2 linked regions of the Saccharomyces cerevisiae S288C genome follow. The gene in region 2 interacts genetically with the main gene of each other region. Each region holds a gene or a part of one and is shown on either strand. Other genes may lie near its edges.

What was found.
Region 1: mutations in YPR1 (region 2) and ETT1 together harm fitness more than expected from each alone (negative genetic interaction), as found in Saccharomyces cerevisiae (one large-scale study listed by BioGRID).

What each region holds. Positions count from the first base shown.
Region 1 is NC_001147.6:421,571-428,977, reverse strand, and holds ETT1 (Ett1p), read left to right. Parts: upstream 1-2,893; coding exon 2,894-4,132; downstream 4,133-7,407. Other genes in the region: phosphopantothenoylcysteine decarboxylase complex subunit VHS3, read left to right, coding at 1-1,145; TMC1 (Tmc1p), read left to right, coding at 1,754-2,206; phospholipid-translocating ATPase RSB1, read left to right, coding at 5,246-6,310; ssRNA exonuclease RAT1, read left to right, coding at 7,328-7,407.
Region 2 is NC_001136.10:1,210,048-1,217,604, forward strand, and holds YPR1 (trifunctional aldehyde reductase/carbonyl reductase (NADPH)/glucose 1-dehydrogenase (NADP(+)) YPR1), read left to right. Parts: upstream 1-3,856; coding exon 3,857-4,795; downstream 4,796-7,557. Other genes in the region: MOR1 (Mor1p), read right to left, coding at 2,391-2,789; KEI1 (Kei1p), read left to right, coding at 2,801-2,830, 2,932-3,567; XRS2 (Xrs2p), read right to left, coding at 4,969-7,533. UniProt on the Saccharomyces cerevisiae protein: Aldehyde reductase with broad substrate specificity, catalyzing the NADPH-dependent reduction of aldehydes into the corresponding alcohols.

The DNA.
Region 1 (7,407 bases), on a different chromosome or scaffold from region 2:
TTCTTTTTGGGGCAACAGGTTCTTTGTCTGTTTTCAAACTCAAGCACATGATCAGAAAATTAGAAGAAATTTACGGAAGGGACAAAATATGCATACAAGTTATACTAACTAACTCAGCAACCAAATTTTTTGCAATGAAGTATATGAGGAAAAATAAGAAACAACACAATAGTATCGATACTTCTTTCAACAGCACCAATTCTAATGCTGGCAATATAACTGGTAACAAGAAAAAAGTAGCCTCTCTTGAAAAATTTAGCATTCAGAAGACGTCTTCAAACTCAGCGGCTTCTCAGACAAATAATAAACAGGAGGAAGAAAAACAAATGGCCTCTACTACTGGATTTCCTTCGACACTTGGTGGTAGTCGTACGTACAGCAACTCTTCAAACGTTGTATCGCAACATCCTCAAATTGAACTGCCAGCACATATACAATTTTGGACAGACCAAGACGAGTGGGATGTATGGCGACAACGAACTGATCCTGTATTACACATAGAACTACGTCGTTGGGCAGATATACTAGTTGTCGCACCATTAACCGCAAACACGTTGGCCAAGATTGCCCTTGGTTTATGTGACAACCTTTTGACAAGTGTAATAAGGGCATGGAATCCAACGTTTCCCATATTCCTAGCGCCTTCAATGGGTAGCGGTACGTTCAATTCCATAATGACTAAAAAACATTTTCGAATTATTCAAGAAGAGATGCCTTGGGTAACTGTATTTAAACCCTCAGAAAAAGTCATGGGCATAAACGGTGACATCGGGTTAAGTGGGATGATGGATGCAAATGAGATTGTTGGCAAGATAGTCGTCAAACTAGGTGGTTATCCCGATGTTTCTGCGGGAAAGGAAGAAGAAGAGGATGAAGATAACGATGAGGAGGATGATAATAAGAAGAACGATACTGGTGGTAAAGATGAAGATAATGACGACGACGACGATGACGATGATGATGATGACGATGATGACGACGACGACGACGACGACGACGACGACGACGACGACGATGATGATGATGACGACGATGATGACGACGATGATGACGACGACGACGACGACGATGAAGATGACGAAGACGAAGATGAAGACGATGAAGGAAAAAAGAAAGAAGATAAAGGAGGGCTACAGCGATCTTAAATAGGACTAATTTCATTATTGTAAAACTTTTGAACTATATATATCTTTACATAGAATAAATTTGCATTAATCACTGATAACCAGAAGAGAAGGCTAAAAATAGGCAAGTAGGACACTTAACTCATTTTCCAAAGGGAGTTTTATGTCTCATAGTTAGCGCTTACGATGCTGCGGAGGTGCGTCGTCACTCTATCGGATGTTCATTCTGAGGGAAAGGGAGTGGTTCAAATCCGATTTAACCTTGCCAGCTTATCGCAAAGCGGGTGAGATCAAATGCTCCACAGCTCTGCGGTTCGTTTCACCTTTCTGTTTTCTGCGAGCTTCGGCCCTGTCAGGGAAAAAAAGAAAGAAGGGGGCGGTGGCAAAGACTGCATCGGCCCAGAAGCAAAGAAGATATAAAAGGGAAATACTTGCCACCGAAGTCTTAGACTTTGCATAAGAGATATTCTCGCCTTTCCCGCTTGAAGAGTTCCTGACTCTATCATACATCTTGGATAAAAGGATCAAGCAGCCTATCCGCTAAACCGCTATTTATTCTGCTTTACTGATTCATTTACATCAAGTGAAGCACAAAACTATCAAAATCACCAAAAGAATAGAAACTAAAAATGTCTGATATAAACGAAATCGAAATTCCATCCAGAAAGGATGAAATTAGACAAGTTACTCCCAAGGATCCCATGCATGAGATCGAGGATAAAAGCACATACCACGCTAAGATAAAGAAATCAGATTCCGGGACCGTCCTGGGTGCTATACCGTTGAATTCAAGGTCTTCTAGTAACTCTAGCGTGACATCGACGGGTCAGAGCAGTAGGCGGGTGACTAAGAAAACGACCAAGAAGAAAAAGAAGAATGCTTGTTATTTCGATACCTGTTCAAGTGCGGCTTCGAAATTCATCGGTGACTGTAATTTTTGCAAAGGTCACTTTTGCTCGAAACACAGATTAATGGAAAACCATGCTTGTAATGGCTTAACGAGCTGCAAAGAACAGCTACATCAAAGAAACGCTGATAAGCTAGAAGCTGAACAAACTAAGGCTCCAAAGATACAAATTTAAACACCTATCATGGTTAAATCATACACACATCTAATTCACTGGGAACTGCATTGTAACGTCTAATCGGCATTGATGTTACACAAGGGAAAAGAACGCTTTTGATGCATTTCTCTACAAAATAACATGTATAAATTACTTGAATGGTCTCTTCGTTTTTTTTTTTTTTTTCTTCATCTATCCTGACTCATCAAGAGAGACCGTTCATTGTAACCACTTACTCTTATATAACGTATAACTAATAATATTAATAATCAAGAAGTGGTGCTTAACCTTTGAAACGCCTTACGCAAGAACCTAATCTGTTGGTTGGTCTTTGGTTTTTCGTTTCTTTTTTTGTACGGGGAAGAAAGGGAGAAAACGACTTTTTTTTTATGTTTACAATTCATTTTTAAGCGTTAAGGCAATCGAAATATAAACAAATGAAAGCTGGAGTAACTTCACCATTTCTTTTTCCATTTCATGAGGTTGTAGCGGAAAAACAATTTTCCGCATATATCGTTTTGCGACCGAAAGAGGTAAAAAAAAAAGTGCGAGAAAAAGAACTCTTTTTTTCGTCATTTGAAATGTTGCATATTTTGAAAAATTTCAATATAAACTAGTTTTTAAATAATAGAACAATTGTAGGCACCCAAAAGAAAAAGAATTGAAGAAAAAAGGAGAACAGTCCAAGAAAGTAATCGTACAGAAATGGCTAAAAGACCCTTAGGTTTAGGTAAACAAAGTAGAGAAAAGAAAAGAAAGGTGGAAAGTGTCGAAAAGAAGAGCGATGAACCTTCCAGAGAATCCACACCTGTGAGAAGTCAAATGAGTGTTGAGCTTGACGATGATGCTGATTTAGATGACGAATTAGCTCAGCTGAAAGGACTGTGGTCTAAATATTTTCACTCTGACAGAGACGACGAATATGTTTTAAATGGAATCGTTCACGAATGTGACAGATTATTGCGTCTTTCTGAAGAAGATAAAGAGATTAAGAAGACGCTGAACGATATTTTCCATGGTATATATGCTCTGGCTTTATCTGAATTGACTATTTTCAAGGCAGGCGATGAGGAAGCCACTGAAGAAAAGAGAAAAAAAGATGTATCCTCATTTTTTGAAAGTGCTATCGAAAGAGTCGAATTAGGTCTTTCGCATTTCCCTGAATCCCAATTTCTAAAACTAGTTTTAGCAAAGATAATTTTCCAAAGGATTCCGTTGGAATATATTTCCAATCTCCATTTGAAATCGAAGGATAAAAAACTTGATCTTGTAGGACAGCTTGAACATGGTAAGAAGCATTTTTCAATTTATGAAAACGATACTGAATTTACTTTTGAAATCCTACAAATGGTGAATGACTTATTGGACATCGTCGAGAATTTTGGTCGCGAACAATCTATTCAAGAGGGCATAGATAGCGATAATGAAGAGGAAGAGGAACTCATTGATATTGAGTTGGAACCAGAACACCCTGTATATCCCCTACAACAATCGCTAGAAGCGAATTACGAGTGGCTAAGAAACCATTTTGATAAATTGCTTGACAACACAAATACAGATGTGAAAATCTATGCATCAATAGCTAACACCCTAGGGGAACTATACCTAAAAAAAGCTGAAGAACCAAGTAAAGTTTTCTTAAGCCTACAGTACGATGATGGCGGTTCTGAAAAGGTTAGCGACAAGGAAGCCAAGAACGCCCAAGAAACCGCTTTGAAGCACACAAAAAAGGCTTTAGAATACTTGGAAAAGGCTAAACTGGAGGATGATCCGGACACCTGGGTTCAAGTCGCCGAAGCATATATTGACCTAGGTAACCTGCTTGACAATGAAAGTGCTGAACAAGAAGAAGCTTACAAAACCGCCGAAGAAATCTTAGGCAAAGCAAACAAGGCTTCTCATGGTAAATTTCAAGATGTCCTGGACAATTTCTTACAAGGCTGAGCGCATCCACGCTTCTTTTTTATTTTTACTCACTCCTTCTGTTGCCTTAAGTACTCTCAAAAATTACTATTTTTATCTAGTTTTATAGAAAAGCTAAAAGAAAGGCTATATTTATTAGAGCGCGTGTTGAAATATAGTCACAACTTATTTAATGAGTTAAACTTTTGGTTTCCTTTTAGGTTTTTTGGTGCTCAGCCTCGTCATCACCCAATAAAGAGTTTATTATCAATGGCTTCAGTGAAACAAACCAACAAAACTCTCCGAGAGGGCAATCCAGAGCATAGCACAATCTTTTACATCCGCGGAAGCATTCTTGCTCCGTCATATTTCCTTCCGGACTTCGCTCGGACTCTTTTTCCGCGGAAAGATATGGTCTCCGTCGGTCCTCTGTTTCCTATTATATTTGCGCACAGTGACAGTGCGGCAATTGATATGTCAGGGACCACTGGAAAACGACGTTGCCTAGTAGTTGTGGCAGCTCCGATAGTTGACATTCTCATTAGTAACCGAACTTCTTGCACCAAGTCCTGTGCGAGTGCTGCACGGCCATGCCTTGAGGGTTCTGTCGCCCCCTAGCTGTACGTAAGCATCCCCCGTAATTTTTCCGCAAATGTCGAAAAGCTCTTGACTTTTTCTCGCTATCTCGCTCTCTAAAAGGGAATAGGTGTGATTCTGATCGGTTGTACCCACGGAGCTCTAATTTGCCCTGTTTATTTTTCTTTGGTGTGCCTCCCATTTTCACCTAAAACAGTTGAGCTGATGGGCAAAACACTATATAAGGTTTATTATTTGCAGTCGACCCCAGAATCAATAGAAATAAGAAGAGTTTTCCTTGTCGCTTGCACAGTAAAGTATTTTTTTTTTTTCTTTCAGTAGTAGACTTAAAATTCATTACTTTTCTACGTAAACTCTGGTTTCCTAGCAGTTCAAGCAATAGTATACTAAGGGCGTAACTAATTACTGCTGGTTGTTCTAAAATAGATTTCTCACAGTACTTTTTTTCTGATTATAGACGTTGAGAAATTCAAAATGTCCAACGCAACAAATAATACGTTAGGCAGTCTTTTGCCACAGTTAGAAGCAGCAGCTAACAGTAATTCCCTTTATGGTGGTATGGTACCGAACCTTCGTTTTAATATCACGATGATTGTCATTTGGGGTATACTACTGACAATACATGTCGTACAGTTACTGATGCGCCAATACTGGTTTTCAATCGCTTTTATATGCACAGGTATTTTGGAAGTTCTTGGATTTATAGGGAGGACGTGGTCGCATTCTAATGTCGCCGATATGGACGCTTTTCTTTTGAACATGATTTGTTTGACTATTGCACCAGTTTTCACAATGGGTGGTATTTATTATCAACTTGCAAAGCTTATAGAAGTATACGGCCACAGGTTCTCTTTATTGCCCTCTCCAATGGCGTATTCTTTTATTTTCATATGTTCCGATATCGTATCGCTTGTGGTGCAAGCTGTAGGCGGTGGCCTGTGTGGTGTGGCGGTCACAGATGGAACGTCCACAACAACCGGCAATCATGTTTTCATTGCTGGTTTGGCCATTCAAGTTGCATCGATGGCCATCTTTCTTATGTTATGGTTTCACTTCCTTTTCCGTATATATATATCGGTAAGATGGGAACACATAAATTCTAGACCTATCTCATTGAGCCTCTTAAAGATATCGCAAACAGAAGTTGATTATTTATACAGGGAAAAGTTCCATTTTTTGAGACTCGAACCTAAACGTTGGGTTTTTCATTATTTTAATCTGGCAATAACCGTTGCGGTACTAACCATTTTTACCCGTTGTTGTTACCGTTTGGCTGAATTAGTTGTCGGTTGGGATGGCTATCTGATCACACACGAGTGGTATTTTATTATCTTAGATGCATTAATGATGGCCATCGCTACGGTCACTTTGACCATCTTCCACCCTGGATTTGCGTTTAAAGGTAGAAGCACCTCGATTCCAATCACACCGGGCCATGTTGATCCTGAAACTTTACCACATACTGACGATGTTGAAGATATCTTAGATACTTCGGATTCAAAACAATTTGATATTGAAAAGGAGGAATTCCAAGCAAGCATGAAATACCCGATTAGCACCTTCAAACAATTCATGTCCAAAATAGCTAACTTGTTTTCCTCTAAAAAGAAGGCTAAACTTTAGTGATACGTAGAATTTGAATGTCAATCTGATCGTTCATATGCATTTTTCAATTCTTACTTTTTTTCTCGAAGTTCCCGACTATGTTCTGTTTATTTTTTCTCCTATTCAAAAGAACCGGACAGCATTTTTACTTCCTTATATTTCGACATCGTAATATGTACATTTTTTAGTTCACAAGTATTTTTCCCCTTTCAATGCTTTAATCAGCCTTCAACGTCATACATACTTTCTATTTTGTTCCTGTGCCATCGTATAACTTTCCTCGTTTAGTGTTTTCGCCTCAGCTTAATGTAGATCACTGTTTTGACGTTCTTCCATTTTTGGGAACGAACTAAACTAAAAAAAAGAAAACTACAGAGTTTCCCATAGAGAACAGAAAATCCGCTATCGGCAGCTTATAGGGTCATATAATTATGGCGCACATAAGGAAAATAAATTTATTTGAATCAATCAACAGACCTATCTGTTGATATATGAAAGAGAGCAGGAGCGTTAGTTTACCTCCATAAACAGTAAAATTAAAGCAAAAAAGCGTAACTGCTGATTGAAGCCTATATCACCGGGCTAAAATCTTATATCGGTTAAGAAAGTGATTAATTTATAGATATGTTCACGAAATCTTTTCTATTCAAAGATTCACGAATTTTACTCGATTTTTATAGTATACTGAAACAAGTAGTTGTAAAATCAATTCACCAAAAAAGCTTTCCCCATCTCTGATGAAAAACTACGAAAAGTTTACTATCACATAATATCGGAAGTACGTTTTTAAGGCACTGCAATGTATTTTATAATCTTGAACATTTGGAGGTATATTACCTTACTTTCTCATCAGGTTGTATATTTGAGCGTCTCGGGAATGATAAGTCGGGTAACGAGAGTATCTAGATAAGATTTTCAGCTATGGCAATAAAAAACCAAACCTCATCGATGAACCTATTACAACATAAAGACATCCCGTAATAATTAGTGAGACAGGTTCTTCAAGGAAGTGCTACAGCCAAGTTTCGTAATATAATGGGTGTTCCGTCATTTTTCAGATGGCTATCTCGAAAATATCCAAAGATCATATCCCCAGTATTGGAAGAGCAACCTCA
Region 2 (7,557 bases):
GGGTGGTATGCATAAATTAAATGTTCCTTTACTTGCTCCCATGTCCCAATCTAACACACATGAGTCGTCGCACGCCAGTAAATCTAAAGATTTCAGACACTCAGACTCGTACAGTGAAAATGAGACTAATCATACAAACGTACCAATATCCAGTACGGGTGGTACCAACAACAAAACTGTTCCGCAGATAAGTGACCAAGAGACTGAGAAAAGGATTATACACCGTTCACCTTCAATCGATGCTTCTCCACCGGAAAATAATTCATCGCACAATATTGTTCCTATCAAAACGCCAACTACTGTTTCTGAACAGAATACCGAGGAATCTATCATCGCTGATCTCCCACTCCCTGATCTACCTCCAGAATCTCCTACCGAATTCCCTGACCCATTTAAAGAACTCCCACCGATAAATTCTCGTCAAACTAATTCCAGTTTGGGTGGTATTGGTGACTCTAATGCCTATACTACTATCAACAGTAAGAAAAGATCATTAGAAGATAATGAAACTGAAATTAAGGTATCACGAGACACATGGAATACTAAGAATATGCGTAGTTTAGAACCTCCGAGATCGAAGAAACGAATTCACCTGATTGCAGCTGTAAAAGCAGTAAAATCAATCAAACCAATACGGACAACCTTACGATACGATGAGGCAATCACCTATAATAAAGATATTAAAGAAAAAGAAAAATATATCGAGGCATACCACAAAGAAGTCAATCAACTGTTGAAGATGAAAACTTGGGACACTGACGAATATTATGACAGAAAAGAAATAGACCCTAAAAGAGTAATAAACTCAATGTTTATCTTCAACAAGAAACGTGACGGTACTCATAAAGCTAGATTTGTTGCAAGAGGTGATATTCAGCATCCTGACACTTACGACTCAGGCATGCAATCCAATACCGTACATCACTATGCATTAATGACATCCCTGTCACTTGCATTAGACAATAACTACTATATTACACAATTAGACATATCTTCGGCATATTTGTATGCAGACATCAAAGAAGAATTATACATAAGACCTCCACCACATTTAGGAATGAATGATAAGTTGATACGTTTGAAGAAATCACTTTATGGATTGAAACAAAGTGGAGCGAACTGGTACGAAACTATCAAATCATACCTGATACAACAATGTGGTATGGAAGAAGTTCGTGGATGGTCATGCGTATTTAAAAACAGTCAAGTGACAATTTGTTTATTCGTAGATGATATGGTATTGTTTAGCAAAAATCTAAATTCAAACAAAAGAATTATAGAGAAGCTTAAGATGCAATACGACACCAAGATTATAAATCTAGGCGAAAGTGATGAGGAAATTCAATATGACATACTTGGCTTAGAAATCAAATATCAAAGAGGTAAATACATGAAATTAGGTATGGAAAACTCATTAACTGAGAAAATACCCAAATTAAACGTACCTTTGAATCCAAAAGGAAGAAAACTTAGCGCTCCAGGTCAACCAGGTCTTTATATAGACCAGGATGAACTAGAAATAGATGAAGATGAATACAAAGAGAAGGTACATGAAATGCAAAAGTTGATTGGTCTAGCTTCATATGTTGGATATAAATTTAGATTTGACTTACTATACTACATCAACACACTTGCTCAACATATACTATTCCCCTCTAGGCAAGTTTTAGACATGACATATGAGTTAATACAATTCATGTGGGACACTAGAGATAAACAATTAATATGGCACAAAAACAAACCTACCAAGCCAGATAATAAACTAGTCGCAATAAGCGATGCTTCATATGGTAACCAACCATATTACAAGTCACAAATTGGTAACATTTTCCTACTCAACGGAAAAGTGATTGGAGGAAAGTCGACAAAGGCTTCGTTAACATGCACTTCAACTACAGAAGCAGAAATACACGCAGTCAGTGAAGCTATACCGCTATTGAATAACCTCAGTCACCTTGTGCAAGAACTTAACAAGAAACCAATTATTAAAGGCTTACTTACTGATAGTAGATCAACGATCAGTATAATTAAGTCTACAAATGAAGAGAAATTTAGAAACAGATTTTTTGGCACAAAGGCAATGAGACTTAGAGATGAAGTATCAGGTAATAATTTATACGTATACTACATCGAGACCAAGAAGAACATTGCTGATGTGATGACAAAACCTCTTCCGATAAAAACATTTAAACTATTAACTAACAAATGGATTCATTAGATCTATTACATTATGGGTGGTATGTTGGAATAGAAATCAACTATCATCTACTAACTAGTATTTACATTACTAGTATATTATCATATACGGTGTTAGAAGATGACGCAAATGATGAGAAATAGTCATCTAAATTAGTGGAAGCTGAAACGCAAGGATTGATAATGTAATAGGATCAATGAATATAAACATATAAAATGATGATAATAATATTTATAGAATTGTGTAGAATTGCAGATTCCCTTTTATGGATTCCTAAATCCTTGAGGAGAACTTCTAGTATATTCTGTATACCTAATATTATAGCCTTTATCAACAATGGAATCCCAACAATTATCTCAACATTCACATATTTCTCAAAGCATATATGTAGTATATATACATATACATATATATATTTATATAGGTTTGGGAACCTATGTTTTTTATTGTACCAAACGCATCCCTCTTCAATAATCTTCGAAAAAAAAGTGCACAACAAGCGGGAAAATCTGTGTAAAGCTGTATAAGTGATCTGTACAAAAACTACGAAGAAAAGAAATAATACCAGGGAGGAACTACCAATTGTAACCATTAACCTTAGTTATGAGATCATCTCTTCTAACCCTTCCAAAAGTATGTTTCCGGCAAACGCTATAAATTTTTGTTAACTTGTAAGGATTCGAAGCAAAGCACAATTTTACTAACCTGTTCTCAAACATATTTTTTTTTCATAGTCTTTTTTGGGGTTTATGCCGCTATACCTTGCAGTTGAGATTGTCTTAGGTATTTCCATTCTAAACAAATGCAGTGGTGCTTATGGTATTTTAGCATTGTTCACGGGTCATCCGTTGGATTTTATGCAATGGATAGCATATCTTTGGTCGGTATTTACATTAATCGTATTCTCACAAGGGCTGTATTTGATTCATAAGCCAAACTTGCTGGTATTTTCGCAAATCTGCGTACTTTATACAATCGATACCATTTCCACTTGTTTTTTTACTCTATGGTTTACCACGCAATGGTTCACCTTGGAAGACACTGCTAATATTGATGGAAATAATGCACTACAAAGTAACCCAATATCGACAGGTAAGCTGACAGAACGTGGTATTGATATAAGTAAACAAAGTGCAACTGAAAGCTACGAATATACCATGACTATTTTAATTACGTTGGTGTCATTGATATTCAGGTTCTACTTTAACTTCATTTTGGCATCTTTTGTTCAAGAATTGTTACACCACCCCAAATATTTAGTTGATAGGGATGACGTAGAACAAAACTTGAAAAACAAGCCTATTTGGAAAAGACTGTGGGCTAAGAGCCAAAAAGGTTGTTATAAGCTATGTAAGAATTTGTTAGAGTAAATAGTAAAATAAAGCCCTAGCGTTATAGCGTTTTACACTGATGAAGAAATGTTTCTATTCTGACATCATAAAATCATTCTCACTGATGCTATTGTCACTTTTCATCACGTGTGTATTTAAGTAGCTCTTACGTAATTTTGAAAAAAAAGGAAAAAGGAAACTATATAGCACGCAATTCCCTATTTGGTTGCAATTCAATTCCGTGAAACCCTTTTCTTTTCTAAAGTGATAATAAAGTAACTTTGCAATATAATCAGGTCGCAAATATACCCACAGATAATAATCTACCATGCCTGCTACGTTAAAGAATTCTTCTGCTACATTAAAACTAAATACTGGTGCCTCCATTCCAGTGTTGGGTTTCGGCACTTGGCGTTCCGTTGACAATAACGGTTACCATTCTGTAATTGCAGCTTTGAAAGCTGGATACAGACACATTGATGCTGCGGCTATCTATTTGAATGAAGAAGAAGTTGGCAGGGCTATTAAAGATTCCGGAGTCCCTCGTGAGGAAATTTTTATTACTACTAAGCTTTGGGGTACGGAACAACGTGATCCGGAAGCTGCTCTAAACAAGTCTTTGAAAAGACTAGGCTTGGATTATGTTGACCTATATCTGATGCATTGGCCAGTGCCTTTGAAAACCGACAGAGTTACTGATGGTAACGTTCTGTGCATTCCAACATTAGAAGATGGCACTGTTGACATCGATACTAAGGAATGGAATTTTATCAAGACGTGGGAGTTGATGCAAGAGTTGCCAAAGACGGGCAAAACTAAAGCCGTTGGTGTCTCTAATTTTTCTATTAACAACATTAAAGAATTATTAGAATCTCCAAATAACAAGGTGGTACCAGCTACTAATCAAATTGAAATTCATCCATTGCTACCACAAGACGAATTGATTGCCTTTTGTAAGGAAAAGGGTATTGTTGTTGAAGCCTACTCACCATTTGGGAGTGCTAATGCTCCTTTACTAAAAGAGCAAGCAATTATTGATATGGCTAAAAAGCACGGCGTTGAGCCAGCACAGCTTATTATCAGTTGGAGTATTCAAAGAGGCTACGTTGTTCTGGCCAAATCGGTTAATCCTGAAAGAATTGTATCCAATTTTAAGATTTTCACTCTGCCTGAGGATGATTTCAAGACTATTAGTAACCTATCCAAAGTGCATGGTACAAAGAGAGTCGTTGATATGAAGTGGGGATCCTTCCCAATTTTCCAATGAGCGCGCTACATTACAGTTAATGCCTCCAGCAACCTGTAGTGCTTCTTTAAACCGATCCGATACAGCTGAAACAAACATTGATTTTACTAATTTTCATATAATATATACACATATATCGAATGATAATGCAAAATATAATTTAATGAAATTGGAAATACTCGGAAAATTTATCATTATCCTTTTCTTCTTTTGAACGTAAACTTCGGACCGTCGTCATCGTCGTCGTCGCCATCACCGTTATTAGAAGCCCCAAAAGAGCCACGTGATCTACTAGTTGCGCTTCTACTGTGTCTACTTTGCTTGGAACATTCTTCTGACAAGTTTGGCCGTAAGTTCATTTCCTTCACCACAAAAAGATTACGATTATTTTCTCTGTGATTTAGTCTATCGCTTTTATCATCAATATCACCCAGATCATCTTCATCAGTAATAAAAATTTTGTTTTTTAGTGGTTGAACGCTGGCTGCAGTACCTGAACAACGAGAAAAAGAAAACGAATCTTCTTCTCCTTCATTTGAACTATCCTCATTCGTGAATCTGTTTAGAGCTTGAGATCTTTTCTGGATAGTGTTTGAGTTTATATTATCGGACATAAATGTATTCGATCCAAATCTTTCCATCTCCGTCAAAGCAAACATATCTTCGTTTTCTTCTGTGCCCCATTTTGTAGTTGTATCCTTTTTGGAGTATTTTTTTAACGGAACATAATTTCTAGTGATTAAAAAGGCTGCATTTCGTATAAAATCTGAGCTTTGAGTGTTATTTTTACCCTCTTCTTTGTGCGCCTTTGATTTTGGACGTACCTTGACAAAAGTCTTGAAATTCTTGCGTTTATGCCATTCTGGCTCCATTAGGCTATTTTCCCATTTTTCAGTTGTTCTGCTTGTTTTGTTTCCCTCACTATCAAATGATTTCCTCAGTAAATTGTTACTAGGTTCTACAATAGCCAAATTTTTTAGCTGATTAATAGCTTCCTCGCTCAACTCCTCATCCTTCAATTCAACAATGGTTGACTTAACTCTTTTGACCTCTCTATTTTTAGTTTCTTGAATAGCTTCAACAAATGCGTGCGGCGTACCAGATTTCTCTTTAATAGATAACTCTTTTACAGGTGACTTACAATTTTCTTGTAATGGAGATGAAATTTCTCGTGAATAATTAGAAAGTTTACGGATGTTTTTAGAGGGTTGCTCTATATTCTGGTGATGATTCACCCTAAAATTCTTAGTAACTTCAGCATCATCCATCGAATTCACAGCAGCTGTTTCATAGTCAGCGGAGTTCGAAGATATGGTTTGAGAGCCAATCCCTGCTACCTCCGGCAATGACGGCTGTGGTAACTTATGTGACTGTAGCGACTTATCCAACGAATCCTCACTCGTGTTCACAGTACCTAAGTTGGGGCTACTGACAATTATAGCACCAGGGCTACTGTGACCACTTTTCTTTCCAATATCTTCAGTCGGCTTTAGTGCGTTTTGAAGAAATGGGGCGTGCTTTTCATCTGCCTCTGCAATGTTGGGACTTGAAATGACAGTCTTTGATTCTGCGCCACAATTAAGTCTCTTAGCGTCAGTTAAAGACCTATTTTCTGATAGAGTCTTAGTACTCAAACCTCCAGCAAAAAAATCAAGACTATCGAGTGGTAGTACTCTACGTCTATTTAATTTTCGCTTCTTCGAGACTACTGGACTAGCTTCAACTTCAGGTGCACGAGATGTTTTCAAAATAGTAGACATTCCTTCAGAAATTTGATCAAATTTACCGTTATCTAGAGTTCTTGAAGATGCACCCTTCATATTAATCACTGCGCTTAAGGTGCCATCTATTATTGATGTTAACATCGTTTTGATAGTACATAGAATTTTCCCATTTTCTTTCTTATCTGTAGTTGTCAAAATCAGGTATTCTGTTGATGCTTCCAAGCTGTCAACATATTTATATAAACTATCAATGTTGTCAAATGCAAATAAATTTATATTGAACGTCCGCAGGAGAGATGATAGACGTGGTTCACTTTTGATAGTAGTTAACACTCTGATATTATTCAGCCTCATAAACTTCGAAAGCAAAATATTTGGATCAAAATCAAAAACATTGTACTCCGGATTACTAATCATATCGTTCCACATTTCATCAAATTTTAAATTAGTTTTAGATGTGGGAAGAAGAGTATTACACAATTCCATCAGAAACCGTGATTTTTTCATGGGTATAGTACTAACAAGGGCATACAATTCCCGTATGCTGTTGTCCTCGCTCTTTGGGTAATCGCTAATCATCAGATTAGCGGGAATATCATTAATAGAAATCTCAGTGGAGATACCATATTCAGAAAGCATCGTCCTGAATTGTGTCAAATGAGGAGGAATGTTCCAGACTTCATTTATCCATTCGAACTCTATACGAATAGGAGTTGTACCCAGTTCAATTATTGTGGACTTTAAAACGTCCGAGGCATTAATAGTAAATGTTTCGCCAACTTTCATGAATTTTTTATTTAATGATGTCAATTTACCCTTGTTAACTAAACACAGGCTACTGTGTTTCAGATCCGAACTATTATTGATTTCCCATTTGAATGTGATATGCTGTCTGGAAATACTTTTATCATTTTTAATTATCAGTGGGTTTTTACTTGATCTACCTATACTATAAGTTTTGAAGGCCTGAAGACAACATGATATAAAGCTAATAGAGCCATCTTCCAATGTATTCTGGTATCGTACTACCCACATAAATTTATAGTTATCACCTTCTCA